Linked DNA regions of Tamandua tetradactyla. The protein of the gene in region 2 binds, or shares a complex with, the protein of the main gene of each other region. Links are inferred from orthologs where the notes say so. Each region holds a gene or a part of one and is shown on either strand. Other genes may lie near its edges. The genes, in order: KCNJ8 and ABCC9.

Region 1 (15,144 bases), about 190 kb from region 2:
AGCCTGGGCTGTTTTCATGAAAATGCAGCCCAACATGACTGCATTGATGATTAAGCCCACAATGTTCTGGAGAATCAGAACTGTGATGGCCAGAGGGCATTCCTCTGTCATCATCCTCCCTCCAAATCCAATGGTCACTTGAACCTCAATGGAGAAGAGAAAAGCAGAGGTGAAAGACCTGTAAGGAATGATATTAGAAAACAATGCCATCAGATCAGATTTTGAATACCAAAATAGCATGCCTAGATGAATGCTTCATTTTCTTCCCTTCAAGGCTATCCAATGCTTTTAGAAATACAAGCCAACCTAACCTGCCAAATGTCAAATTCTAAGCACAAGCACTTTCATTCTCCCTGTATGTGCACTATCTCTAGACTACAAGGGTTTAATTCTGTTAGTGTTTTCTAGGTCAGTAAATGATGGGTCTACTCATATGAAAGTACTAATACAATAAACTAATATACATCTTCCTGGTAGAAAATTTCACAAAGTGAAAGTAAATCCTGTCTGTTTTTTGAAGAATAGAAACCTAATGACATTTGCAGCATAAGCTTGAAAAATTATTTTTAATCTAAATAAAAATCCATAACACAGAGACTTTTCCAAAGAGCACTTACTCTTGTATATTTATGTTTAAGTGACTTGAGTCCTATTGAAGGCACTGAGTAATGAGTGAACTTTTCACTGTTATAGCTGTTCAAATCATGTTCATTAGCTAAACCTTATTGTGTAGCTTATATAGTCAATGCACTGCAGTATAAAGTGGTACAACACACATCGTTCAAAAATACTAGTATTTTTAATAATAAAATTTTGCATCTGAAAAAAAGTGTTTTCTTGTAGATTGTCTCATTTTGTCCTAAGTGATCTAGATAATACGGAAGCTGATAAAGGAAGAATTTCAGACAGAGATTAGTAAACAACAATGACAATTATATGACAAAATCATATAATTAATAAGAACACAAATCCTCCAAATTCTAGCCTAGTACTCTGAAAGAGGCAAAGGGAAGGGGCCAAAAGTTGTCAGGTTTTCTAGGGAAGCTCCAAGGATTGACAATGATTTGGTGGGCTCGGGGTGAGAAAGGGAATCAGAATTCTGTAATTCTGTAATTCACTTTCTGGTTGAGAAGTAGCGCATTTGGTTATTATTATCATTCATTCATTCACTTACTACATCCCTGATACTGCTGCAGTGTCTTAACAGAAATACTATTAGCCCTGTCTTCCTCCCCACACCCCTAATTTCAAACTTCTCTAATTTTACCAAAGAAAAGCCAGGCATAGCTCATCTGCCAAAAATGTCATCAAAAGAGAGTGCGTGTGTGTATATATATAAATATATATATATATTATATATATATATAAGTATATATATAAAAAATATATATATATTTTCATGCCACATACAATGAGTGAGCAAATTTTAAAAATCTGAGTTCTTAATATATGCCAGGCACTTTTGCTGGGACATGATGAGGGGGTAAGCAAGCATGAACAGGTGACGCTTCTGATAACCTTCTAAACAGAGCCTGAAAATTGCCCTTTTCCTCTTTTGTGGCTACAAGGATTCATGGAAAACCACATTAACTATTCTTACACTAGCTACACAAAACAAGATATCTCATATGACCCTGAATCTTGGCAAAGAATAGGAATGGATCCCAAAGGAGGGTCATGGACACAACACTGATGTCTAATAATAAATCCATACTTCAGGGAACAGCATAATGATGAATATACCCAAATGTTTTGCTTTAATGGCTTGAGAACATTCATGTGCCATATTTCAAACATTTTTATTGTATAAAAGAATTCAATTCTAACCATTATATGGTTCAAGACCAGTCTTTTATGAACACCTGTCAGACTAAACTACCACAACTGATAAAAATGTTTGGTTGTTTTTTTGTTTGTTAAAGAATCATAAGGAGAAAGGGGAAATATGCTGGTTTCTTTTCAGATGCATATTAGAAAGTAATCTACATGAAAGGGAAAGTAAGCCACCCTAAAATGAGAATGGTAAAACATTATTTAGAAACACTGGTGAATAACCACTGAAAAAACTGTTTCTGATTCTGACAATGCAACAGGACACTGAACTTAAGAAAGGAAAGGGAATGCTAATAATTAGAATCATTATTAGTCATATTTTAAATTCCCTTTGGAAGAGGATAGTGATTTTTTTATTTCTATATTTATGGTAGAATTTTTTTTATTATGTGAGGCTTGTTATGATTAAACTCTATATTGAAATTAAAGTATAAATGATACCATAGCATGAAAATAAAATCACTGGGACTAGAACAACCTTTAAAGATGTCAAATAAGTTTTCTTAGGAAGTGCAGTTTGAAACACTAAAATTGTTATACTGATAAGATCAGCTTCATATTTTGGGGACCATTTCTCAGTTGATATTATATCCACACTAGCAGGGACACATCAAGGGAATGAACATGCTTCGGACAATACCTTACATGAAAAACAAGCGCTAGCAGTAAAATGGCTTTTAATAGATAATGGAACATCTAAATTTCTTTTTGAAAAATCAGTGAAAGGATATCACTTTTTATGATGTATTTTTAATACATTGCTTAATGACTTCATTTTCATAGAAAAAGGCAATATATTTGTCTTCTGCATAAAATCTGTCATTTGTTTTCAAGGACTATCATTTTAGTTCTTTTAATTTCTTTATGAGTACCTACTGCATATTTATTGAGAACTTCTCTTAATATGAATGTGACTTTAATATCAGGGCCAATAAATTTCTTAAAGAGAAATATTATTAAAAGTAGCTTTGACCTTGAAATAACTGCTACACACAGTGTTTCTTTTCCTTTATATCGAGTGCTTTGATGATCACTCACATTTGTCAGCCACATTGTTCTTTGAGAAAAGATTATGTTAAAAATAAGAGTATCTACTCAGTGGCAAAGGCAATGGATCAATTCGATACAGTTTACTTTCCTCAAAATTTGAACTGATAAATGTGGTGTGCTGTCTCTGCATACAAATGCTACATTCCTGATATGCTTGTATTACAGTTACTTAGGAACTAGAAGGATGGACAAGTTCACAGCATGGCTTTCTGCTTTTTGCAGTGGCATGCTAATTTCACAAGATTCCAGGGTCAAGAAAGGTCTCATTCTTTACAGTTACCTAGTAGTATGGGGCTTAAGTTTCTTAGCTTTGTGCACTATGTGAATTTGGAATGCTATTCAGAAAATGTTCTGGAAAAATTTCCATTATTATTGCATTGTTTTGCTTCAGAGTAAATGTTTCTCTGAATGTTATGTTATCTCTTTCTATCTTCCCACAAAATAAATACAAGTCACCCCAACTAAATATTTTTCTGCCCTCCAAAAATATGAAAAGAGAATCACTGAAAATATTCACTTTACTGGTCTTAGAAATACTTATGAATAAAAAGAAACAAAAGTTAGGCAATCTGCAACTGTCTTGTTCTTGTTCAATCAAGACTGAAAGAAGACTGCAGCATTAAGTCTCTTCTATATAATCTCTCCTATGAAAATTTCCATTAAAAATGAACTGTTTTACAGCTCTGAATCTGAGCGCAACTTTTAATTCAGTGCAGGCAATGAGCTATGTTCAGACAGTCTTAATAAAGGAAGGTTTATATTTACTTCAGTTATTGAATATTTAATGGATTTTTAATTGACCCCTCCTGAACAGTGCCTCTACATTTTTTCATTATTTCTGAAAATATTAAGGGTAAGATAGGTCATGGGAAAATATTAGCAGCATTTGTGTAATATTTTTTAATGATCAGAGATATTTATTTGTGGACACTGGAACTATGGACAGCAGCTGTTCTTACTGAAAACTTAAATGCGTGTTTTTTTTTTTTTTTTTTGAGGAAGACATTCTGTGGAATCCTCTCCAACCACAATTTTAATAACTGCTATGATATTTTAAAGTCTAGTCCAAGGGATTGAAGCTCCACATTTTCAGAGACTCATCATCCATAAAGCTGCATTTACAAAGATTTTTAATATCTAAACTTAGTGGGGTTTTTTTGTGGTTTGCATGCTTGTTTTTGTCTTTGAAGGTTCAAAGCAAAGCGTTCGCAAACTGGAGTGATGGGAAAAAGGGCAGGTTAATATTTTTTTTCCCATACTCCTTTCAATCTTCGCCTCATCCCACTGCATCCTTACCTGACATTAGTCACACACACGGTAGACTCCAAACCACTTTTCTCCATTCCACTTTTCTCCATGTAAGCATAGATGTCCCCATGGGCAAAGGCTACCAGCCACCACATGATGGCGAAGAGCAGCCAGCTGCAGAGGAAGGACATGGTAAAGATGACCAGCGTGTGGCGCCATTTCAGGTCCACCAACGTGGTGAAGATGTCCTGGAGGAAGCGTCCTTGCTCGCGGATGTTCTTGTGCGCCAGGTTGCAGGCCCCACTCTTGGCGATGAAGCGGGCTTTAGGGAGTCGGTCTCGGATGCGAGGCTTGCGCAGGTTCTCCGCGGCGATGCGCGCCAGCACATACTCCTCCGGGATGATGCTTTTTCTGGCCAACATCGTCCTGTCACCATAGCCAGCTTACCCACCGACCTCTGACCTGCCTCTCCTTCCTCCGAGACCCGTCCTCCTGCACGAAGTAAACGATCATTAAAAATATATATAAAAAACAAAAAACATTTCCTCACCTCTCCAGTCCTTGATTTAAGGGGCATGTAGGCATGCAAAGTGGCAAGCATGATTTTTATTCAGCTCAACACGAATCCAGCTTTTGCTTAAGTTCTGGGATCCCAGAGAAATTATTTGGTCCGAATCAGGAGAATTGTTTCCATTTTTCTTATTCTGAACACATATATGGACATAGCCTTAGTGAAACACCAGCAGGAGCCTTCACGTAAACAGCAAGTTCAAAAATAGTTCTCTAAGATCAACTGCGGCTGTAGATCAGTGTGAGGCTACAAACACGCAGCGTCAATGAGGGAAATTAAGGCCAGCTGAGTATCACGATCTATTAAGCTATTTAGATGATACAGCAATAGTAAAAATAAAGAGGGAAATTTCTTCCTCTTATTTTTAGAAGTAGGCAAAGAAAAGGCCTTGCTCTCTTGAGCTGTTTCGTGTAATCTGATAAAAATAAGCACTCTATCTAATTTGAAGAATTATTTTAAATTTGAAGGAAGTATGAGTTGCATTTTTAAGAAAAAAGCGAAAGAGTTCCTCATGGAACTCATAATACTGTAAGTGGAAAATTTTATAATGAAGGGCTCAGACACAAACTGAAGGAAATCCTGAGCAGTAACCTGTGGGCACCAAATAGAGTCAAAGGAGAGTGTCCCGAAGAGTCCACGGGACCCTGCAGATCTTTGCTGTGTTTTGCAATTTAAGTCATTTGCTGGGACGTGGACAGCTCGCCCTCCCCTCTCCGGGTGTTGCGTTGAAACTTACAGGCTCCGGGCAGCGGGCGCCTCGGCTGGACCTTCCCGCACACGCCGGCGGACCGCGGGTGGGTCCCTCGCTCTCCCATTCCGCGTGCGGAGCTGGGGCCGCGGATGCCGAACGCTGGAGGGACTGATCCAGGGGCCGAGTGGCCTAAACAGAAGACTTAAAATAAGAAAAGGTACAATTGAATCTAAACGCGGGGACGGCTGGGGGAAGGGGGACGGTGTTGCTCTTCCCCCTCCCCCTGCTCAACCCAACTCCCTAGGCAGATGCCGCGGGCGGAGGAGGGGCTGGGGGGAGGGGAGTTTGGGGATGCTGCTCCACAAATCAACCTCCCTGTTAGGTTTTGACGCGCGCCAGACCTCTGCGCGCCGCGGCGGAGGTTGGAGCCGGGTGGTGGGGGAGGATGGGGGCGCGAAGTCGCGTTCTAAGGAGCTAGGGAGGCGGCCGGAGGGAGGGGAGACCCCCGGGGGGGGGGCGGGACCTGTAGAGCCAGCTCTTTTCCCAGTAGCGGCGACCCCCTGCTGCCAGAGTGACACAAACGTCTTTAAAAGGCTCGCTGCTCAGGGAGAGAACCCTCTGAGTCCAAGTTCACTGACGTAAAGAAAATTTATTTCATTATTATTATTTTTTTTAGTAACCCGAATAGATAACTGGGTTTCAGAATTTTTTTTTTTTCAGATGGAATAAAACCAGATACCGTAAGATTTTCTTCCCAGGCGTGCAAGCTGTATTCATTCACACACATTTATTTATATTACATTTTCGTCTATTGGTGATAACACAGGTGGATAATGTTCTGCAACCCACGAGAGTATGCTATTTCTTCACCACTCAAAGCTAGTTGTCGTGCATTAAACACACAACAACAACGGTACAAAATCCTGTAGTCTTTTCCCGTGAAGAAAGTGTACTCCAAACAGGGACACTGTCAACACTTCAGCCCTCAAACGGCCGCTCCTCTGCAATCGATTGCTTTCTGAAATGTTGCAGCTTCTCTGTCTTGTTTAGATAGTCTGAATGATAAGCAGAGCAGTTAATGCACAAGGAAGGTTATACAGTAAATATCTTTCTATAGCTTTTTGAAAAGGAGCCAGCAAAGACAAATGTGCTTTCTCCCTCAGATCAAGCCTTGTGATTTTGGCACTTGAGTTAATGGAAACTTTAATTCTTGGAAATTTCATGTATTTTCCAAGACTCGGGACTGAAAGTGTATGGAGAATAAACAATGTGTTCATTTAATTAACGAAAGACCTAGTATTAGCCGTGAAGGAAAACAGACACTTTTTTTTCCTCTCTTGTGGATAGAAATGCTTTGTCCCTTGAAGTCTGGGGGTCCTAGTCTGTCAGTGACAGCTCTCTTCTCTGCTGTTCTTAACTTGTGCAGTAATTTATGTAGTAGTTTGGCCATAAATATGAGAGGATCAATTTGTATCATCATTCCCCTAGTACTTTTTTGCAATTGTATTTGGTATGCTATTTATTATCTATTATTTTAGCTCAGACAGCATTCGTTGGATGCCTGTTAGGGAAAGTTTTTTTTTAAGGTTTATATCTAGAGATTTATTAGTACTTAAATTATAGATGCTACCCGTAAGAGACAGACAGGTATAGGAAAACAGCTAAGATGTAATAAATTCTAATACAAGTAAGTGAGTGATAAAAATGAGAAAGGAGATACAACTAAAGTGCTGTGGGAATTTGAATGAGCATATTAGGAGACTTAGGAAAGCTTCATGGATTGTTTGGTATCTGGTCTAGTTTTTGAAAGACAGGATGTATTTGGGGCATACTGAAATGCAGAGAGAAGACATTCCACAGAGAAGGCGAAGCATGGACAAAGTCATGGAGTGCTGACAAGAACAGGCTGTGTTTTATTAATAGAAAGTAATTCATTCGGCAGTGATGAAGCAGAGTCAGTGAGATAACGGGATCTGCCCTGATTCCAAGGCCTCTGTCAGACCTTTCAACACCTAATGGATTGTTCATGTACTTGACTCTTTTCTCCACACAATTGAAGGCTGCTGGAGGGCAGGATAGTGACTTGTTCATCTTTGCAAACTAAATTTTTAGCACATTTCAGATTACAGATGTGCTTAAAATTTTTTTGAATCAATGAATGGAAAAGATAAGGTTGAAATAGTATGTTGGTATCTTAAAAAAATGCACAGACAGCCTTAAATGCTCAACAAAGGAGCCTGGACTGTCTTCTGTAGGTGTGGTAAGCCATGGAAAGATTTTGATCAGATAACAATACAATAAGAGACTGTTTTAGGAAGAATGATCAGGAAGCAAAAAGTAGAATGGGTTTATGGGTTGAATTTCTTCCTGGAGTCTCTTTGGGTTTTGAATTTCTGTGATTGCAGGAGGGGACACTGGAAACTATTATATTAGTTAGAGAGGGAATGAGGTTCAGGGCTGATAATGACAGTGGGCAATATATAAATATATACAAAAGGAATGTTCAGAGTCTACATTGGAAGAGGGATAAGTCAGAGGTGACTAAGATATTTATGGTGCTGACAGAAAAAATAGGAAAATCAGACCAAGGAGGGTGAACTGCTGAGAAGAAATTATGAGAGATTTCACATGAAAATTTTGTTCTTTTGCTATACTACAAAAATTACTCTTTTTCTAAAGAGATATGTTCTTCCAAACATGCAGTGTTAAGTCGAATTTTGTCTTGTTTTCAAATGACAAGCTATGACATATTAAAAAAATTATTAGAGAAGTTTTAAGTTTACAGAAGAGTCATACATAAATTATACTTTCTATATATGGGCCCCTCCCCACTAACACAGTTTTCCCTATTATTAAAACTGCATTAGTGTGGTACCTTTCTTACAATTATTTTTTTGCTTTTTCTTTTTTGGGGGCGGGGGGCGGTGCACGGTCTGGGAATTGATCCCAGGTCTTCCGCGCGGAAGTCAGGCATTCTAACCACTAAACTATCCAGGTACCTTCTTTCTTACAATTGATAAAACAATATTACTATAATTATACTATTAACTATGGTTTACATTAGGGAATGCTGTGTTATAGAGTCCTATAGTTTGTTGTTTTTAAATTTTTATTTTAACATAATATGCAACCTAAAATTTCCCTCTTAACCACATTCAAAATTATAATTCAATGGTGTAAATTACATTCCAACTGTTGTGCTACTATCACCACTATCCATTACCAAAACTCTTCCATTACCCCAAATGAAATTCTATGCCAATTAGGCATTAGCTCCCCATGGGGAGTGAGATCATAAAATATTTCACACAGCATGATTTCTTTGAGGTCCATCAGTGTTGCTACAGTCTCAGAACTTCATTCCTTTTTACGACTGAATAATATACCATCGTATATAAACACCACATTTGTCTATCTATTCATTTGTTGATGGGAATTTGGGTTGCTTCCATCTTTTGGCAATTATGCATATCCCCCCTATGAAGAACAGCGTACAAGTATGTGTTCAAGTCCCTACTTTCAATTCTATTGGGTATATACCTAAAAATGGAATTTCTGGGTTATAAAGTAATTCTGTACTATCTGGGAACCCATCAAACTGTTTTCCACAGTGGCTGCACCACTTTACATTCCCACCCACAGTGAATGAGTGTCCCTATTTTTTTTACAACTCGTCCAACATTTATAATTTTTTTTTTGTTTTTCAATATTTGTCATTCCACTGTGTGCAAAATGGTATTATAGTTTTGATTTGCATTTCTCTAATAGCTGATGATGTTAAACATCTTTTTTATGTCTTTACTGGCAATTTGTATATCTTCTTTGGGAAAATGTTTATTCAAGTCTTTTGCCCATTTATTTAGTTGGGTAGTTTGTTTTTCATTGTTGTTGAGTTGTAGAATTTCTTTATATATTGTGGATATTAAACACCTATCAGATACGCAGTTTCCAAGTCTTTTCTCTTGTTCTGTAGGTAGTCTTTTCACTTTGATGATGAAGTCCTTTGATGCAAAAAGGTTTTAATTTTTGATGGTGATGTACAATTCATTTATCTTTTTGTTGTTGTAGCTTATGCTTTTTGGTGTAAAGTCTGAGCAACCATTGCTAAACAGAAGATCCTGAAAATGCTTCTCTGTTTTTTTCCTAGGAGTATCATAGTCCTGATTTTTGTATTTTGGTCCTTGACTTTTTACAATATTTTTTTATTGTGAAATATAACATGTATACAGAAAGATAAATACATTTCCAAGTACATTTCAGCAAGTAGTTATGGAACAGATTTTAAAATTTGGTATGGGTTATATTTTCATGACTTTTAATTTTTTATTCAGCTGTACCAAGACACTGGAGACCAACAGAAATATCTATATAATATCAGCAGTCATATTCATTTGCTAAACCCTGTCTTCTCTGTTATACTCCTCCTCTTTAAAATTCCCATATGATGCTACCTGGCCCTGGGCTTTTCTTTGTAGGAAGATTTTTGAGGACTGATGGAATCTCTTTACTTGTGATTGGTTTGTTGAAATCTTATATTTCTTCCTGAGTCAGTGCAGCTTGTGTGTGTGTCTGCGGGGATTTGTCCATTTCATCTAAGTTGTCTAGTTTGTTGGTATATAGTTCTTCATAGTATCTTCTTATGATTTCTTTTATTTCTTCAGGTTCTGTGGTGACACACCCCTTCTCATTTCTGATTTTGTTTGCATCCTCTCTCTCTTTTTTTTTTCTCAGTTTTGCTAGTGGACCATCAATTTTATTGACTTTCTCAAAGAACCAATTTTTTGTTTTATTGATTCTTTCTATTATTCTTTTGTTCTCCCATTCATTTATCTCTGCTTTAATCTTTGTTTTTTCTCTTCTTCTATATACTTTTGAGTTCATTTGCTGTTCTTTCTCGAGTTCCTCTAGGTGTGTTGTTAAGTCCTCGACTTTTGCTCTTTCTTGTTTTTTAAGATAGGCATTTAGGGCAATAAATTTCCCTCTTAGCACAGCTTTTGCCACATCCCATTGGTTCTGATAAGTTGTATTCTCATTTTCATTCATCTCCAGATAGCTACTGATTTCTCTAGCAATTTCTTCTTTGACCCACTGCTTGTTTAATAGTGTGTTATTTCATTTCCATGTATTTGTGAATGTTCTTGTTCTTTGGTGGTTATTGAGATCCAGCTTCATCCCATTGTGATCAGAGAAAGTGCTTTGAGTAATTTCAATGTTCTTAAATTTATAAAGATCTTTTTTGTGCCCCAGCATATGATCTATCCTGGAGAATGTTCCATGAGTGTTAGAGAAGAATGTATATCCTTGTGCTTTGGGGTGCAATGACCTATATATGTCTGTTAGGTCTAATTCATTTATCAAGTTATTAAACTTCTCTATTTCCTTGTTGATCTTCTGTCTGGTTGTTCTGTCTATAGAGGAGAGTGGTGTATTGATGTCTCCTACTATTATTGTTGAAACATTTATCGTTCCCTTCAGTTTTATCAATGACTGTCCCATGTACTTTGGAGCTCCTTGATTGGGAGCATAGACATTTATGATTATTATATCTTCTTTGTGAATTGACCCTTTAATTAGAGTATAGTGTCCTTCTTTGTCTTTTATGATGTTTTTACATTTAAAGTCTATCTTGTCTGATAATTAGTATAGCCACTTCTACTTTCTTTTGGTTACAACTTGCATGGAAAATCTTTTTCCATCCTTTCACTTTCAATCTATTTGTATCCTTGTATCTAAGATGAATATCTTTTAAGCAGCATATAGTTGGATTATGTTTCTTAATCCATTCTGCCAATCTGTATCTTTTAATTGGTAAATTTAGTCCATTAACATTCAAAGTTATTACTGAAAAGGTGTTTCTTGAATCTATCACCTTATCTTTTTTATTTTATTTGTCAGATCTGTATATTCTTTTCCCTCTTTCTCTTTGTATTCTTTAAATTACCCTTAATGATACTCTTCAATTCTGTGTCCTCCTCCAGACCTCCCTCTCCTGTCTCTTTTTTTCAGCTGGTAGAACTCCTTTTAGTATTTCTTGTAGGGCCCATCTCTTGTTGACAAATTCCTTCAGGACTTTGTCTGTGAAAACTTTAATCTCTCCCTCAGTTTTGAAGGACAGTTTGGCTGGGTGCAGAATTCTTGGCTGGAAGTCTTTCTCTTTCAAGACCTTGAATATATCATACCACTGCCTTCTTGCCTGCAGGGAGCTAGCTGAGTAGTCTGAACTCAGTCTTATTTGGTTTTCCTTGTATGTAGTAGGTTGTTTTTCTCTTGACACTTTCAGAATTTTCTGCTTCTCTTCAACATTTGACAGACTGATTAGTATGTGTCTTGGGGAATGCCTATTTGGATTTATTCTGTATGGAGTTTGTTGGGCTTCTTTGACTAGTATATTTATGTCCTTTATGAGGTTTGGGAAGTTTTCCCCCATTATACCCTCAGCTACTCTTCCTAGCCCTTTATTCCTCTCTTCTCCTTCTGGGACAGCAATGATTCTTATATTTGTATGCTTTGTTTTGTCTATCATTTTCTTAAGATCTGATTCAATTTTTTCTATCGTTTTTTGCCATTTGCTGTTTTGAGTCTTCAAAGTCAGTTATCCTGTCCTCTGTATCACTTATTTTTTCTTTTGTCCCTTCAAATCTGGTGTTGTGTACCTCTAGCATGTTTTTTATTCGGTCAACAGAGTCTTTAATCTCTGTGATATCTGCCATTTTTCTGTTTATTCTTTCAAATTCCTATTTATGCTCTTCTGCTGTCTTCTTGATCTCCTTTCTGTCATTTGCTATCCCACTTATTTTATTAAGTAGAGTTGTATGAACATCTTTGATTAGTTGTTCCAATGTCTGTGTCTCCTCTGGTAGTTCAATATGGTCATTAGGCAGGCCTGTATCTGTCTGTGTTGTGATATGCTTGGTGATCTTCTGCTGTCTTTGTGGCATGTAAATATCTTGATAGATTTACTTTGGGAGTTGATTTCTTTCAGTTGTCTAAGGCCTTGTGTTTGCAGAATGGATGTACTGCAGGGAGCAGGGTATGGGGTGGGGCACTCAGTGCTGTGATTTGTTTCAGGGCAGGTATAGGTGCAGGTTGGGGATGTTACACTGATGCTTGTGAATGTGGGTGCCCAGCAGCCAGGGAGGATGTAGCTGTGTGGGTGCACCAGTTGGGGATGTAAACCTGGTGTGCGCTGGTCTAAAGCATAGGGCTCTTTGTGCACATGCATTGAGCTGTGGGAGCAGGTCCGTCTTATATCTTTGTGGATTGGGGGCAGATGTGACTTGGTTATGCAGGTCACACTTTCTCAGAGCTGGGAAGCATGGCTGAGGGCTGTGTGTTTGCGCAGTTCTAGGACTGCTGAAAATTGAGGTTGCTGGAGCTGAATGACATGACTGGGGGCCCGTGAGCATGTGTGGGTCTAGGAGTGCCTTAAGCTAAGCACAGAGCTCATGGAGGGTAGGGTGAGGCTGTGCCACACTATGGGCAGGGGACAAGGGTAGCCTGGGTTAGTGCCTGCAGCCTTTATGTGCTGGCAACAGCCTGCAGGGAGCAGGGAAGGGTAGGTAGTGCTTGAAGGGGTGCAAGAGAGATGGGTTGGGTTCACTTGGGATGGGGGTGTGGGGCAGGTATGTGCACTAGGGGCTGGTGGGGTGGGGGTGCCTGGAGTGCAGGAAATAGGAGTGGGTGACGGGATTTAAGCATGTGGGGTATACGGTGAGCCACTGGTCACGCGGCTGCACTGGTGAGGTTAGCACGCCCAAGGAATGCAGCCTGGCTTACTTTCTAGTCCCAGACTCCTGTCTGTGCACTTCCGCAGGCTCTGCACCTCTGCACCTCCATGCCAGGCTCCAGCTTTCTGCCTCTCAGTTCCTCGGCATCTGCAACTAGGGCTGCCTTGTGTGATGCAGAAGGCTCTCCCAGGTCAGCTACACTCCCAAATCACCCCCCTAGTCACCCTCCTATCCTTTCTCTAGCTTTTCCATGGACCCTTGATACATATTGAGTTAATTTTTGAATATGGTATGAGGTAGGTTTCTACATTCATTCTTTCACATAAGAATAGCCAGTTTTCCCAGCACCAGTTATTGAAGAGTTTATTCTTTCCCCATTGAGTGAACTTAGCACCCTTGTCAAAAATCAATTGGCCATAAATAGGAGGGTTTATTTCTGAACTTGGTTTGACTCTATTGATCTCTATGCCTGTCCTTCTGTCACTACCATGCTGTTTTGATTACTGTAATATGTAATAAGATTTAAAATTGGGAAGTAAGAGTCCTCCAACTTTGTTCTTCTTTTTAAGATTGTTTTGACTATTTGAGGTACCTTACCCTTCCATATAAATTTGATGATTAGCTTTTCTATTTCTGCAAAGGAGGCTATTGGAATTTTGTTGGGATTGTGTTGAATCTGTACATTGTTTTGGATGGAATTGACATTAAAGATATTTAGCCTCCCAACCTGTAACATGGAGTGTCCTTCCATTTATTTAGGTCTTCTTCAATTTCTTTTAGCAGTGTTTTGTAGTTTCCTTTGTACAAGACCTTTACATCATTGGCTTGTTGATATTGCATTCTTTTAGTTGTGATTGTATATAGGATTTTTTCTTGATTTCTTCTTCAAATTGTTCATTACTAGTAGATTGAAACTCTACTGATTTAAAATGTTTTTATTGTTATATATAATATATACAAATAAAAGAAAGAAAAAGCAGTGATTTTCAAGGTACACTTCAGTAAGTAGACATAGAACAGATTGAAACCCTACTGACTTTTAAAAGTTGATTTCATACCTCACCACTTTGCTGAAATCGCTCATTAGTTCTAGTAGTTTTGTTGTGGATATTCTGTATATAGAATCACGTCACCTGGAAAAGAGAAAATTTTGCTTCTTTCTTTCTAGTTTGGATACCTTTTATTTCTTTTTCTTGACTACTTGCTCTGGATAGAATTTGTAGTACAATGTTGAGTAACAGTGGTGACAGTATGCATCTTTCACAGGGAAAACTTTTACTCTTTCCATGCTGAGCATGATGTTAGTAATGGGCTTTACATATATGACCTTTATCATATTGAGGAAGTTTCCTGCTATCCCTGGTTTTCTAAAATGTTTTTCATGGATTTTGTCACATGCCTTTTATGCATTAATTGAGATGATCACGTGTTTTTTTTCCCTTTGTTTTACTAATCTGACATATTACATTGATTTCTTTATGGTGAACTGTCCTTGCATACCTGGAATAAATTCTACTTGATCATGACATATATTTCATTTAATATACTGCTGGCTTCAGTTTGCAAATACTGTGTTGAGGATATTTTGCATCTATATTTATAAGAGACAGTGGTATGTAATTTTATTTTCTTCTTGTGTAATTTTTATATGGCTTTGATATTAGGATGATGTTGGCCTCATAGAATGAGTTAGGAAGTCTTCCTTTCTCTTCAGCTTTTTGGAAGACTTTGAGCAGAATTGGTATTAATTCTTCCTAGAATGTTTGGTAAAATTCACCAGTGAAGCCATTTGATCCTGTGCTTTTCTTTGTTGTGAGGTTGTTTTTTTCCCCTAATCCCTCAAGGGACTTTTCTAATACTTTTTTTTTTGCATGGAGGCACTGGGAATCGAACCTGGGTGTCCGCCATGGCAGGCAAGAACTCTACCACTGAGCCACTGCTTTTCTAATACTTTTTAATTATCTGCCCAACATACTCTTGTGTATATCTGGGTATTACATTAAGCTATACAGAATTACAAGCCC
Region 2 (15,201 bases):
GACTGGCTGGGAGAACCCGTTCTGGTGAGATCGCCGAGGGGCACAGGCTTCCCCAGGCCAGGGCGGCAGGTGGCCGGAGTCCCTCCCTCCCTCCTTCCCGGGCCGGCTGGGAGAATTGGACAGGCGGTCCCCTCAAGCCGCAGCGGCTGGCATACCCCCCACGCGCGGCCCCCCGGACCAACTGGGAGAATTGGATCGGAGATCCCCAGGCCATGGAGAACGGTGACCGGGATCCCTTCCAAACACGTGGCTTCTCGGTCCGGCTGGGAACAGTGCACTCCCCCGGGCTGTGGTGGCTGGCGCCCTCCTGCCACGCTTGGCACCCCGGGCCGGCTAGGAGATACGGACGGGCGCTCTCCCGGGCTGCGGTGGCCAGTGACCCTCCCCACGTTCGGATCCCCGGGCCGGCTGGGAGATTCGGATTGGCACTCTTCCAAGCTGCTTCGGCTGGCGAACCTCCCCCATGGCGAGAGTTTTCCAAAGTTAAAGGACCCACAGCACCTTTTACTGGTGGGACCCGCAGACAAACAAGTGCCACGAGCGCCACCTACTGGGCAGGATAAGAAAAACAGAACCCAGAGATTTCACAAAAAATCTTTCAACCTGTTGGGTCCAACACCCAAGGAAATCTGACTAAATGCCCAGACGCCAGCAGAAGATAACGGATCATGCTCAGAAAATTGAAAATATGGCCCAGTCAAAGGAACGAACCAATAGTTCAAAGGAGATACAGGAGCTGAGACAACTAATGCTGAATATACGAATGGAAATGGAAAACCTCTTCAAAAACCAAATCGATAAATGGAGGGAGGACATAAAGAAGACATGGGCTGAACAAAAAGAAGAAATAGAAAAACTGAAAAAACAAATCACAGAACTTATGGAACTGAAGGACAAAGTAGAAAAGATGGAAAAAACAATGGATACCTACAATGATAGATTTAAAGAGACAGAAGCTACAATTAGTGATTTGGAGGATGGAACATCTGAATTCCAAAAAGAAGCAGAAACTATAGGGAAAAGAATGGAAAAATTTGAACAGGGTATCAGGGAACTCAAGGACAATATGAAGCGCACAAATATATGTGTTGTGGGTGTCCCAGAAGGAGAAGAGAAGGGAAAAGGAGGAGAAAAACTAATGGAAGAAATTATCACTGAAAATTTCCCAACTCTTATGAAAGACCTAAAATTACAGATCCAAGAAGTGCAGCGCACCCCAAAGAGATTAGACCTAAATAGGCGTCCTCCAAGACACTTACTAGTTAGAATGTCAGAGGTCAAAGAGAAAGAGAGGATCTTGAAAGCAGCAAGAGAAAAACAATCCATCACATACAAGGGAAACCCAATAAGACTATGTGTAGATTTCTCAGCAGAAACCATGGAAGCTAGAAGACAGTGGGATGCCATATCTAAATTACTAAAAGAGAAAAACTGCCAACCAAGACTCCTATATCCAGCAAAATTGTCCTTCAAAAATGAGGGAGAAATTAAAACATTCTCAGACAAAAAGTCACTGAGAGAATTTGTGACCAAGAGACCAGCTCTGCAAAAAATACTAAAGGGAGCACTAGAGTCAGATATGAAAAGACAGAAGAGAGAGGTATGGAGAAGAGTGTAGAAAGAAGGAAAATCAGAAATGATGTACATAATACAAAAGGCAAAATGGTAGAGGAAAATATTATCCAAACAGTAATAACACTAAATGTTAATGGACTGAATTCCCCAATCAAAAGACATAGACTGGCAGAATGGATTAAAAAACAGGATCCTTCTATATGCTGTCGACAGGAAACACACCTTAGACCCAAAGAGAAACATAGTTTGAAAGTGAAAGGTTGGGAGAAGATATTTCATGCAAATAACAACCAGAAAAGAGCAGGAGTAGCTATACTAATATCCAACAAATTAGACTTCAAATGTAAAACAGTCAAAAGAGACAAAGAAGAACACTATCTACTAATAAAAGGAACAATTAAACAAGAAGACATAACAATCATAAATATTTATGCACCGAACCGGAATGCCCCAAAATACGTGAGGAATACACTGCAAACACTGAAAAGGGAAATAGACACATATACCATAATAGTTGGAGACTTCAATTCACCACTCTCATCAATGGACAAAACATCGAGACAGAGGATCAATAAAGAAATAGAGAATCTGAATATTACTATAAATGAGCTAGACTTAACAGACATTTATAGGACATTACATCCCACAACAGCAGGATACACCTTTTTCTCAAGTGCTCATGGATCATTCTCAAAGATAGACCATATGCTGGGTCACAAAGCAAGTCTTAACAAATTTAAAAAGATTGAAATCATACACAACACTTTCTCGGATCATAAAGGAATGAAGTTGGAAATCAATAATAGGCAGAGTGCCAGAAAATTCACAAATACATGGAGGCTCAACAACACACTCTTAAACAACGAGTGGGTCAAAGAAGAAATTGCAAGAGAAATTAGTAAATACCTCGAGGTGAATGAAAATGAAAACACAACATATCAAAACTTATGGGACGCAGCAAAGGCAGTGCTAAGAGGGAAATTTATTGCCCTAAATGCCTATATCAGAAAAGAAGAAAAGGCAAAAATTCAGGAATTAACTGTCCACTTGGAAGAACTGGAGAAAGAACTGTAAACTAATCCCAAAGCAAGCAAAAGGAAAGAAATAACAAAGATTAGAGCAGAAATAAATGAAATTGAAAACAATAGAGAAAATCAATAAGACCAGAAGTTAGTTCTATGAGAAAATCAATAAGATTGATGGGCCCTTATCAAGATTGACAAAAAGAAGAAGAGAGAGGATGTAAATAAATAAGATCAGAAATGGAAGAGGAGACATAACTACTGACCTCACAGAAATAAAGGAGGTAATAACAGGATACTATGAACAACTTTACGCTAATAAATACAACAATTTAGATGAAATGGACGGGTTCCTGGAAATAAAGAACAACCAACTTTGACCCAAGAAGAAATAGATGACCTCAACAAACCAATCACAAGTAAAGAAATTGAATTAGTCATTCAAAAGCTTCCTAAAAAGAAAAGTCCAGGACCAGACGGCTTCACATGTGAATTCTATCAAACATTCCAGAAAGAATTAGTACCAACTCTCCTCAAACTCTTCAAAAAAATCGAAGCGGAGGGAAAACTACCTAATTCATTCCATGAAGCCAACACCACCCTCATACCAAAACCAGGCAAAGATATTACAAAAAAAGAAAACTACAGACCAATCTCTCTAATGAATATAGATGCAAAAATCCTCAATAAAATTCTAGCAAATCATATCCAACAACACATTAAAAGAATTATACATCATGACCAAGTAGGATTCATCCCAGGTATGCAAGGATGGTTCAACATAAGAAAATCAATTAATGTAATACACCATATCAACACATCAAAGCAGAAAAATCACATGATCATCTCAATTAATGCAGAGAAGGCATTTGACAAGATTCAACATCCTTTCCTGTTGAAAACACTTCAAAAGATAGGAATACAAGGGAACTTCCTTAAAATGATAGAGGGAATATATGAAAAACCCACAGCTAATATCATCCTCAATGGGGAAAAATTGAAAACTTTCCCCCTAAGATCAGGAACAAGACAAGGATGTCCATTATCACCACTATTATTCAACATTGTGTTGGAGGTTCTAGCCAGAACAATTAGACAAGAAAAAGAAATACAAGGCATCAGAATTGGAAAGGAAGAAGTAAAACTATCACTGTTTGCACACAATTTGATACTATACATCGAAAACCCGGAAAAATCCACAACAAAACTACTAAAGCTAATAAATGAGTACAGCAAAGTAGCAGGTTACAAGATAAACATTCAAAAATCTGTAGCATTTCTATACACTAGTAATGAACAAGCTGAGGGGGAAATCAAGAAACGAATCCCATTTACAATTGCAACTAAAAGAATAAAATACCTAGGAATAAATTTAACTAAAGAGACAAAAAACCTATATAAAGAAAACTACAAAAAACTATTAAAAGAAATCACAAAAGACCTAAATAGATGGAAGGGCATACTGTGTTCATGGATTGGAAGACTAAATATAGTTAAGATGTCAATCCTACCTAAATTGATTTACAGATTCAATGCAATACCAATCAAAATCCCAACAACTTATTTTTCAGAAATAGAAAAACCAATAAGCAAATTTATCTGGAAGGGCAGGGTGCCCCGAATTGCTAAAAACATCTTGAGGGGAAAAAATGAAGCTGGAGGTCTCGCGCTGCCAGGCTTTAAAGCATATTATGAAGCCACAGTGGTCAAAACAGCATGGTATTGGCATAAAGATAGCTATATCAACCAATGGAATCGAATAGAGTGCTCAGATATAGACCCTCTCATCTATGGACATTTGATCTTTGATAAGGCAGCCAAACCAATTCACCTGGGACAGAACAGTCTCTTCAATAAATGGTGCCTAGAGAACTGGATATCCATATGCAAAAAATGAAAGAAGACCCATCTCTCACACCCTATACAAAAGTTAACTCAAAATGGATCAAAGATCTAAACATTAGGTCTAAGACCATAAAACAGCTAGAGGAAAATGTAGGGAGATATCTTATGAAACTTACAATTGGAGGCGGTTTTATGGACCTTAAACCTAAAGCAAGAGCACTGAAGAAGGAAATAAATAAATGGGAACTCCTCAAAATTAAACACTTTTGTGCATCAAAGAACTTCATCAAGAAAGTAGAAAGACAGCCTACACAATGGGAATCAATATTTGGAAACGACATATCAGATAAAGGTCTAGTATCCAGAATTTATAATGAGATTGTTCAACTCAACAACAAAAAGACAGCCAACCCGATTACAAAATGGGAAAAAGACTTGAATAGACACCTCTCAGAGGAGGAAATACAAATGGCCAAAAGGCACATGAAGAGATGCTCAATGTCCCTGGCCATTAGAGAAATGCAAATCAAAACCACAATGAGGGCGGGCCGCGGTGGCTCAGTGGGCAAAGTGCTTGCCTGCTATGCCGGAGGACCTCGGTTCGATTCCCGGCCCCAGCCCATGTAACAAATACGGAGAAACAGAATACAATAAAAACAAGAAAATGTTTAAAGATGTTTCCCTTTCTTCCTTCTATCCTTCCTTCCTTCTCTCTGTCTTTCCTTTAAAAAAAAAAAAAAAAAAAAAAAAAAAAAAAACCACAATGAGATATCTTCTCACACCCACCAGAATGGCCATTATCAACAAAACAGAAAATGACAAGTGCTGGAGAGGATGCGGAGAAAGAGGCACACTTATCCACTGTTGGTGGGAATGTCAAAGGGTGCAACCACTGTGGAAGGCAGTTTGGCGGTTCCTCAAAAAGCTGAATATAGAATTGCCATACGACCCAGCAATACCATTGCTAGGTATCTACTCAAAGGACTTAAGGGCAAAGACACAAACGGGCATTTGCACACCAATGTTTATAGCAGCGTTATTTACAATTGCAAAGAGATGGAAACAGCCAAAATGTCCATCAACAGACGAGTGGCTAAACAAACTGTGGTATATACATACGATGGAATATTATGCAGCTTTAAGACAGAATAAACTTATGAAGCATGTAATAACATGGATGGACCTAGAGAACATTATGCTGAGTGAGTCTAGCCAAAAACTAAAGGACAAATACTGTATGGTCCCACTTTTGTGAACCGACATTCGAGAATAAACTTGGAATATGTCATTGGTAACAGAGTCCAGCAGGAGTTAGAAACAGGGTAAGATAATGGGTAATTGGAGCTGAAGGGATACAGACTGTGCAACAGGACTAGATACAAAAACTCAAAAATGGACAGCACAATAATACCTAATTGTAAAGTAATCATGTTAAAACACTGAATGAAGCTGCATCTGAGCTATAGGTTTTGTTTTTGTCTGTTTGTTTGTTTGTTTTTTCTTTTTCCTTTTTTTACTATTATTATTTTTATTTTTTTCTCTATATTAACTTTCTATATCTTTTTCTGTTGTTTTGCTAGTTCTTTTCCTAAATCGATGCAAATGTACTAAGAAATGATGATCATGCATCTATGTGATGATGTTAAGAATTACTGATTGCATATGTAGAATGGAATGATTTCTAAATGTTGTGTTAATTTCTTTTTTCTTTAATTAATAAAATAATAATAATAAAATATAAATAAGATGTTAAGTATTTGAAAGTAGGCAAATGTACCACGATTTGCAGATAAAATCATATTTTCTAGAAAGTCAAGCTAACATAGGTGAAACAATATTGCAATTATTGAGAAAATTGTAAAGAGGCTAGATATAAGATAAATATATAATCTGTTAGAAAATATAGTATGAACAGATACTACATTCTTAGCAGGCCAATATATGAAAAGAAACTACAAAATTCACAAGAAATTGTAGAGAATTATAGAGACTCTTATGAATTTAATAACGGATTAAAAAAAAGACTTGAATAAATGTGAAGCCGTGTTTCTGGATGGAAAGAGAGGAAACACTAAATGTGACATGGCTTCATAAATTATTTCCTAGATTTAATGAAAAGCCAATAAAATCCCCCCAAAGAATAAAAGCTAAGAAAAATTTAAAAAGAGTAAAGAGACTATCACTCCCAGGATTAAAATGTACTTTAAAGCTACAATAATCAAATTGGACTGATCAAAGCAATAGAATAGAAAAAAATGGAAAAACAGATCAATTGAATAGAAGAGACATTCCAGAAACAAATTTTACTATAAAATAATTAAGTGCATATGATAAAGTTGGTGTTACACATCAAAGCAAAAAATGATTACTCATTCAGTGGTGTTGATGTAATGAATGGATAACTATATATTCTCATTTCATGGCATATGCCACAATATGTTCCTGAATCAAAATTTTAAAACACCCTTAAACAAATAAAAATGAATGTTAACATTTATGAAATGAAAGCTTTGGGATACATTGTGAAGGTAAAAAGCAACATCGCTGCTTGCATAAACCTTCCCTTAGAAGACAAGTGCCCCAAGGGCAGAGACACTGGGAGAGCTGATTTCATCACTGATTTCTGTGTCTGGTATGAGACCTAGCACATGATACATGCTCTAATAAATGTTGACAGAATTATGAAAACAGTTGTTATTTTAAGAAGGGCAGCATCACTCTCATTTTTAAATTGCAAGTTGGGAAAATATTTGTCAAATATATGATACAGGTTTAATATGCTTCTCTTATTAAAAGTTCACACAAATGATAAGAAACTTCATTAAGATCCATTAGATGGACAAGTCTGTGAAAAAGCCATTGACTATGGAAGAAATACAAAGACTAATAAACGTTTGAAAAAACACAGTGTCAAAAACAAAGAAATGCATGTTATTTGTCAAATTAAGAATTTTGTTTGCTTTTAAAATAATATCTACAATTGATTTGGGTGTAAATGTAGTAATAGGTCATCTCATACTGTTCAGGGGAGTGAATATAAACTTTCTAGAGAAGTAATTTTGCATTCTGTATTGGTAACCTTAAAAAATATTTACCCCTTTTGTCCCTGTAATTACTTTTTAGAGGATGTACCTTAAAGAAAAAATCTACCACACTGAAAAAAAACAAACAAAACCATCACAGGATTTCATCTGATAGTGAACACAGGGCAACTCCATGTCCAACAAAAAGGAAATTGGTTTAAAATTACGGAATATCTACACAAAATGATATTATGCAGACACTTAAATTATTTCTGTGAGGATTTAAAAATGCCATTGGAAAATAAGTGTTTTAAATGATGTTGTGAGGAGACACTTATGCTGTAATTGCCAATATAAAATATGCATATCAAAACAGAATATCAATAATTAATACTCAGCCATTACTCGAGGAGCACACACTCTCTCAGTACTTTACAGATATTACCTCATTTGTCCTCTCACCAACCCTAAGAAACACCTTTATTTGTCATTTTATTGCACTGGACACATGAGGAAACTGACAGTCCAAAGATTGAGTGGAGTAGCAGAATGTAATAGTATGCATGCTAGCTCGGTTCATGTGCCTAATCACTGCAGTATATAGCACCTAAATTTGTTAAAATATAACCAAATATTTCCAGTAGTTGTATTAGTTTGCTGGCTTCTAAAACAATTGCCATACAGTGGGTGGTTTTTTATTGGCTCTCTGCTTCAGAGGTTAGAAGGCTTGCCTCCTCCCCAGGTGGGTATCTTTTTTACCGATAGATTCACACGTCAGGACCAGGGGTTGGGACCTAAACAAGTCTCTTGTGGGAGACTTGATTCAATCTCCAACAGTAGTTATGCTTTTCCATTTTTTTTACAAAGCTTCTACATTAAATGTAACTTTTTATCCTTACAAACGACCTTACTAAGAGTAATATTAAAAAAAAACAAATCTCCAAGTCAACTTCTTTTGTGTAGTCACATTTCTATGTAATGATTCTTTGCACCACCCCGTTGTCCCGCCCCGGGGCCCTTGCAGAGCCTCTGATACTTCTCCATCAAGTTTTAGGGTCCCCGCGGAGCTCCTGCGTCGGGCTAACAGCTGCAGATTGCAATAGCCTAGCGCTCAAAAACCTGAGCTTTCTGGACCTTCTCGGGAGCCGACCCACGTGGCCGATCCTGGAGACCTCTTGTGGCCGCGGGCTCGCGTCCCAGTCCTCAGCCGCTGCCCGATACTCTCCCGGGAACTTAGTAACCTTCCCGAGAGTGGGGCGCGCCCGCGGGGAAATCCCCTCAGGGACTGCAGGACCGGAGCCTGCCCGCTGTTCACAAGGACCGCGAGGCCGAGATGCCCGTTTCGCCCCTCCAGTAGCAGACCCCGCGATCCACCAACGTTTAGGTTTCAGGGCGCGGGACCAGCATTGGCTGCTCACCGTCCTGGAGCGGTGCTGCCTGGAGGTCACACTCGGAGCCCGGCTGCACCAGTCCGCCTGACTGACCATCCTTTCTTAGTTTAGGACGATTGCTGAAAGCAGTAATGATTTCAAGCTGACTCAGAACTGGCCACTGAGAATTTTGAGTGTAAATTAAATAAGGCTGGCGAGGCCCAAAATTAGGGTTTGAGAACTGGGAGTGGGGAGGGGACTTAGGGTAGGTTAAGTGGATTTTAAATACGTTATCTCCTGGAGAGTTAACTATCTCTTTGGCCTGGAGCGGAGTAAGGGGGTGGGGGTGGGTTACTATTTATGCTGCTCTTGGAAACCACCAAAGTTTGGGTAAGTGTCGCCCTTCAGTAGCGCGGCGACTAGTGCGCAGGAGTAGCCAAGTTTTCCGGGTCGCTGGCAGGGGCAAGCTTAGGATTCAGGCTGTGTTGATCATGTGAAACAAACAGAGAAACCCTTGCAACGAGTTTCTCTGCTTAACAGTGAGTCCTTCATTTCCCCGGTCCGGTCAGGGCAAAAACATAGTGACCGGCCCCCTCCGCCCCCCATCCACTTCATTATGTGGCTAATAAAAGGATGCACGTAGAGCAGGGGGGAAAAATACGAATGAGTACCTTGCGTGTTTTGACGTTGAAAACCCCTCTTCGTAGACTCACTTAGTTATATATTGCAAGATTAAAACTTCTGATGAAGTTTGGGGGATGCCTATTATTTGGGTTTGCGGCTGTAGCTGGACCGAGTGGGGTGGGGAGGGTCTTCAGTCCAAGGCGTTGCGCACGGGGCTTCTGCCCAGTTTCCTGCTTCGGAGTCGCAGTGTCCGCCCCGGCCCGAGAGCAGTTTATGCAATTTAGAAACTCGATAGGAGGCAGCAGCTGATCTCCCACCACCCTAAAAATAATCCAACCCGGCGCACTGCGTGTTACGGCTAGGGAAGGAAAACTTTGCCGTCGGAGTAAGTGAGTCCATGTCTTTTGCATAAATATCATTAAAAAAATTTAAGACTAACTGTAAACGGTAGATTTTTATTTAACATTTCGGTAACCAAAAGACGCACGCGCACTGTGTGCGCTTTGCCTTAAGCGATCGCTATTTCTAGGACGAAGGGAACCGTCCGGAGAAGAGAGGGGGTGGGGATCGGGTTTCCAGCTCTATTTACAAAACTGTGCCGGTACCTAGGTAGACCAACTGGAAACAATGCAAGGTGTTACTACTAAATTTTTTTCTCTCGGGTATTTCTTGAACTGCTCATGAAATAGCTTTCTATCTGCTTAATTTTTGGTTACGCTTTGCTTTTTTAAGAGTCCTGCGCCCGGGTTGGAAATTTACGTCTTAAGACAGTGTAGGAAGCCGGTCTTTTGAAAGTAGCGCAAGTGCACGCGTAGGGGGTTGAAGCAGCATCAAGCGATTGCCCAAGGTATTTATTTTTTGCTTTATTTGCTCAGTTTGGGACTTAAAAAAATCCCATTGAAATGACTGTCCTAGGAGTCCTGATTGCTGAGTAGTTCCATTTTCTTTGGTGAGCGAAGGAACTTCACATCCACTGAAGAATAAATGTGTGAATTCAGATCAGGCACTGAATCAGAAGTCAGTGGTCATTTTGCTAAGTATTTTCTAACTTGGATCTGACATAGCGATGGAGGGTGATTAGATAGCTAGATAGGGACAGATATAGAGATAGATGAAAAGTAGACAAATCTTCTAGTTTATGTTTTATGAACCGCCAACTGATTTTTTTCCAAAGAAGATTTTAAAGCATAAACTTTTTTTAATTGTTTTTTTATTTTTTTTTGCAAGTGATCTCCATCCTGAAAATGTCCTAGATAACGATAAAGCTCTTAAGGAAATTCCTTGAAATGCCCTGGGTTCTCTCTCATAACATACATTTGTTTAGTCACTGAATAAATAAATAATGAATTGTTTCACGTTAGAATGAAATCTTTTCTGTTGCTTTTGACATGTTTTTCAGGTGTTTCCAAGCATTTTAAGTTTTCTGCTGTTTCTCTTCCATTAAATTGACAGTTTCTGTTGGACGAACAGAAAACAGTGCTAGTTTTCACTTATTTTACTTATAGTCTACTTCCAAAAGAGAGGACTGGCAAAAATTGCTGAAGGAGAGGCCGGTACCTGATATACATTGACACTTTTGCCAAATTTTTACAATTCTCTATTTAGGCCTCTGTCTGTGCTCGGCTGAACCGGACAGATCCAGAAGGGGCGTGTCTGAAGGATGTCAGGTGACTGAGCTTAGCCAACAGGAACAGCGCTTTATTCCCTTCCGGAAGCCTTCCTGACTTGATGGTGTGTTTTGGAAAGGAAACACTGGCTGACCTTTGGAAATCTAGGAATTAGTTAGAAACTCAGGTTGAATAAAATGCCTTTGGTAAACACTAATAATTATCAACATGTCTGTATTGCTTACTCCTCTTTATTTATTTATTTATTTATTTGGTCTATATTGGAACGTATGTGGGCTGGCTGGTAAGATGTTCCACATACATACTGAATGCTGCAGAAGGGAGGGTCGGGGAGAAGAGGGTGTAGGAAGAGAAAACAGAAGGAAAAATGTGGTGAGAGGTGGTGGGTGAGTTTGGAGCTAGAAGGAAGTGTGAGGCTACAGATGTTGAGAAGGAAGATGTCATTCTAAGACTTATGTCATGAATTTGCAGCAAATACTGTAGTGTTATTACATCATTGCATATTTCTCCATCTTTTGGATCATGTAACTTTATATGATCCCAAGAACTACTTGTAAATGGTATGTTCTTATTTATACAGTCTAAGAGCACAGGAACTTACTGTCTTGTGCACTTTCGGATTCCCAGTGCCTAGCACATGGTCCGCATCCAATAAGTGTTTTAATGTTAATTAATTAAATGGCCTAGAATCCCTGACAGCTGGTACGGGGGTGAAAATAGTCTTAAACGTTTTCAGGTGGTTGTACTTTTCTGACGCTTTCTCTCCACAGCTACAGGACACTTATCCAAAGGGTTACTTAATTGATAGGTTTTAGGATTGATTTAAGTATTAGGCAGGTGGCTGCACAGGTGGTTCAGTGGTAGAATGGTCACCTTCCTTGCAGTGAGACCTGGGTTCAATTCCCTGACCATACGCCCACAAAAGAAAAAAAAATTAATAGGCAGGCAATATTAGCTAACAGAGGATCAAATTTAGGTTAATCATTGACATCCGGTTGGATAAGTATTACATATCAAGGTTTACAAATGTGGCCAACTGGAATATTATAATTTTGGGTACAATTATAAAAATTGGTAAAGTAAAAATTATTTTCTGGTTCATGCTAGGAAGCACTTTATACTTGTGTCTAAATATAAGAGTGGGCTTATGTTTTCTTTTGTGTTACTACTAAATAAAGGAAATAGTCTAAAAACTTTTACTAGTAATTTTTTTCATTTTCATTTTATTTTTCATTTTTTATTTTCAGTTTGCACCTGTCTGAATTTAAGAATGGGCTTAAATTTTCCTTTGTTTTTACTAAATAAAGGAAACAGTAAAATTTTTCATTAGTAATTATTTTTGCTTTCAATTTTCCATCTTTACCAGAAATACATCTAACATGCAAATCATATGAGCTTGGAACTATAACTTCCATTTTATTATTTTAAAAACCTCAAGTCCATTCTAATGCTTTTATCCAGTTTATACTCTTTAATAATTCATAAGGATTTACCAAACGTAAACTTTATCCTGAGTTTTAAAAAAATGTAATTGTTTTAAAAAATTAGAAATGGCCTCAACTGGAAAGCATATAATTGATTTATCAATAAAAGGATTTATTGAAATAATGTGTGAAAGGGATTCAGTTTAAACATTTATGGACTGTAAATATTGAGGCTTGTGAACTATTTCTCTTCATAAAATGCTTTATAAAACCTTCTCTTGAAATTTAACTTCTCCAATAGTTTGCCTACTATTGCTAATCTTTTCTCTGTAATACTTTTTGTTTTTTTCCCTAGGACAAATATTGTTCGTGGCTATTGCTAAACTCTAACTGAAATTTCACGGTAGTATTTTGATGGAGCAGATACTTGCTCCTCTATCATCTGTTTCAGCACATCCATGAGAGGGATCCATTTGAAATGTAAGTCAGAGCATGCCATTCTTCTGCCCTACATCCTCAGTGCCTTTCCAATTCACCCAGTATAAAAGCCAGAATCCCAGCCCTGGTCTACAGAGCTCTGCAAGATTTTGTCCTCTCTTAACTCTAAATCATCTACTTAATTGGAAAATGAATGCCGATTTCCAATGATCAGACATCCTTCCTTTCAAAATTTTTACAGCATGCATTTTATGTAAGAATGGGACCTGAATACTTTCATTTAACTGGTCAGTTAAATACAGTTCTATTTAATTTGTCCAGATTACTTAGTTTTAATATTCTTCAGAGAAAGGTTGTTTGCAGACACATTGGTCTCTGTGTATTACTATTTTCTGCAATTAAGGAAATTTTCAGGAAATTGTGTCCAGCCAAAGTTATTTGTTAATGCATTTTCAATGAATAGACCTGGAAAAGGATTTGACATAACATTTTGACTTTTCAATCATTAGCTTCACTTTTCTCCCATTTTTCTTAACAAATCACCTATTTTGTTCTTTGAAATCATTTTAATCAAATACTCCTTTGAGGTACAACTATAGAAGATATTCACTATTTTACATTTTACAAATCAAAAGAAAATATTTTAAAATTAGAGTATATTTCTCTTTAAAAAAAAAACAACTATAGAAAAGAGGACTTTGTCATGCATTTATCTAGTTCTTCAACTGTAAAAATAAGGTGGATAAATGATATAACCCTCTCTATAAGGCCATAATCCTATGAAAGAGAGTTTAATTACAAGAGACTTTTTTCTTTCTCTTTTCTTTCACTTTTAGAGTAAACCATATGAGAAGAAATGAGCCTTTCATTTTGTGGTAACAACATTTCTTCATATAATATCTGTAAAGGTGTATTAGAAAACCCTTGCTTTGTGAATGCCCTCAATCTGGTCCCTCATGTTTTCCTGCTGTTTATCACTTTTCCAATATTGTTTATTGGTAAGTAATGTAATGTTGCTATGTCACATTAGTAGTGAGATTTGGTATAATGTTGACTTAATTTCTCCATCATGAAAGCTGATATGAGAGTCTATGAGAAAAGAAGAAACTTATATTTTGTGTTTTCTTATTACTTCTATTTTTAGCATATGATACTCGGTAGGTAAAATAGTGGGCATGGTCCTCTAAAGGATGCTTCCAGATAGCAGCAGCTGGTTTTTGAAAAAGATAGAGATAATATATGAGATGGATCTAAAGCATTGATTGAGTACTTGCTTTGTCCTAGGTGAAGGCAATGGCAAATGGGTGACATAGTGTGTGCTTTGCCTTCTGGGAGTAGTCCAGACAAACAGATGCATTAAAGTCAGGAGAACTTAACTGTATCACATTTTAAGCCCACATTCAAAAATGGGAACAAATTATACTAGGCATTAACCTGCTAGAACAACTAATTCTTCCTGGTGTTGGTGGGAGGAGATTGCCCAGAGAGTGACACGTTCCAGAACTTGAAGGTTACAACGTGTGCAAGTTAAAGTAGGAATGACGTGGGTATGTTTTGAAGAGAATACATTTGCAAAGAAATGGGAACCATTTTCTCTATGCTTTTACAGTTTATGCATGTACAGAATCCAGTTATTCAGAGCAGTTATGTACAATTTGTGTGGTCCTACCCCCTGAATTACCAAAATAGACCATTTAACTTTTTAAAAAGTTATAAAATATTTTCAGTATGTAAAAAATGACCACGATTAATATAATAAACATTCTTTGAACCTACCACCACTCATCCTTTGGAATGTAGCTGTAAGAACATGTGTATCTTTTTGCATATCACTTCCTGATTCTGTTGTTATTCCCACATCCTTTCTTCCCATCCTTTCATAAGTAGTAACTACTATTTATAATTTGATGATTAATATTCCCATCCATGATTTTGTTGCCCACAAAAATATATGAAATAATAAAAAGTCATCAGACTTACTTTCTTAAGAAAAATAGCATAATCAAAGAATATGCTTTAAAGAAAGATTTAAAAATGATGTGAATACTTTTATTTATTCCTTAAATAAATTCACTGAGAGCCAGCTCCATTCCTGTTATTATTTCTTACAGTGATCAAAGAATTTGTCCTATGGTGTGTGATGTCATAATAGAGCCCACCATAACTTTTCGTGCAAAGTTATTCAGGTTAAACAAATATATAAACAAATCTAAATATATTGGTACCACAGTAGCCATACGTAGAAGTACTAG

What was found.
Region 1: the proteins of ABCC9 (region 2) and KCNJ8 are in contact, whole or in part, in a cryo-EM structure (PDB 7MIT), measured with the Rattus norvegicus proteins. The link is inferred for Tamandua tetradactyla from reciprocal best matches to the Homo sapiens genes ABCC9 and KCNJ8. Residues at the interface, in XP_038963045.1 of Rattus norvegicus: Phe5, Ile10, Tyr13, Asn14, Ile15, Val19, Asn22, Cys24, Phe25, Ala28, Leu29, Val32, Val35, Phe36, Phe39, Phe42, Pro43, Ile44, Phe46, Ile47, Gly48, Trp49, Gly50, Ser51, Lys55, Gln57, Ile58, Asn129, Phe130, Lys132; in NP_058795.3 of Rattus norvegicus: Met1, Leu2, Lys5, Ile7, Ile8, Pro9, Glu11, Tyr12, Val13, Leu14, Ala15, Arg16, Ile17, Ala19, Glu20, Asn21, Leu22, Leu45, Ala46, His47, Lys48, Asn49, Gly54, Arg55, Phe56, Leu57, Asp59, Ile60, Thr62, Thr63.

Annotation. Positions count from the first base shown.
Region 1 is NC_135333.1:84,375,743-84,390,886, forward strand, and holds the start of KCNJ8 (ATP-sensitive inward rectifier potassium channel 8), read right to left. Parts: upstream 5,993-15,144; 5' UTR 5,917-5,992; intron 5,595-5,916; 5' UTR 5,439-5,594; intron 5,341-5,438; exon of another isoform or gene 5,294-5,340; intron 4,624-5,293; 5' UTR 4,554-4,623; coding exon 4,180-4,553; intron 179-4,179; coding exon 1-178. UniProt on the Homo sapiens protein: Inward rectifier potassium channels are characterized by a greater tendency to allow potassium to flow into the cell rather than out of it.
Region 2 is NC_135333.1:84,561,602-84,576,802, reverse strand, and holds the start of ABCC9 (ATP-binding cassette sub-family C member 9), read left to right. Parts: upstream 1-9,148; 5' UTR 9,149-9,848; intron 9,849-9,927; exon of another isoform or gene 9,928-10,093; intron 10,094-10,191; 5' UTR 10,192-10,306; intron 10,307-10,839; exon of another isoform or gene 10,840-11,190; intron 11,191-12,866; 5' UTR 12,867-12,991; intron 12,992-13,785; 5' UTR 13,786-13,805; coding exon 13,806-13,947; intron 13,948-15,201. UniProt on the Homo sapiens protein: Subunit of ATP-sensitive potassium channels (KATP). Can form cardiac and smooth muscle-type KATP channels with KCNJ11. KCNJ11 forms the channel pore while ABCC9 is required for activation and regulation.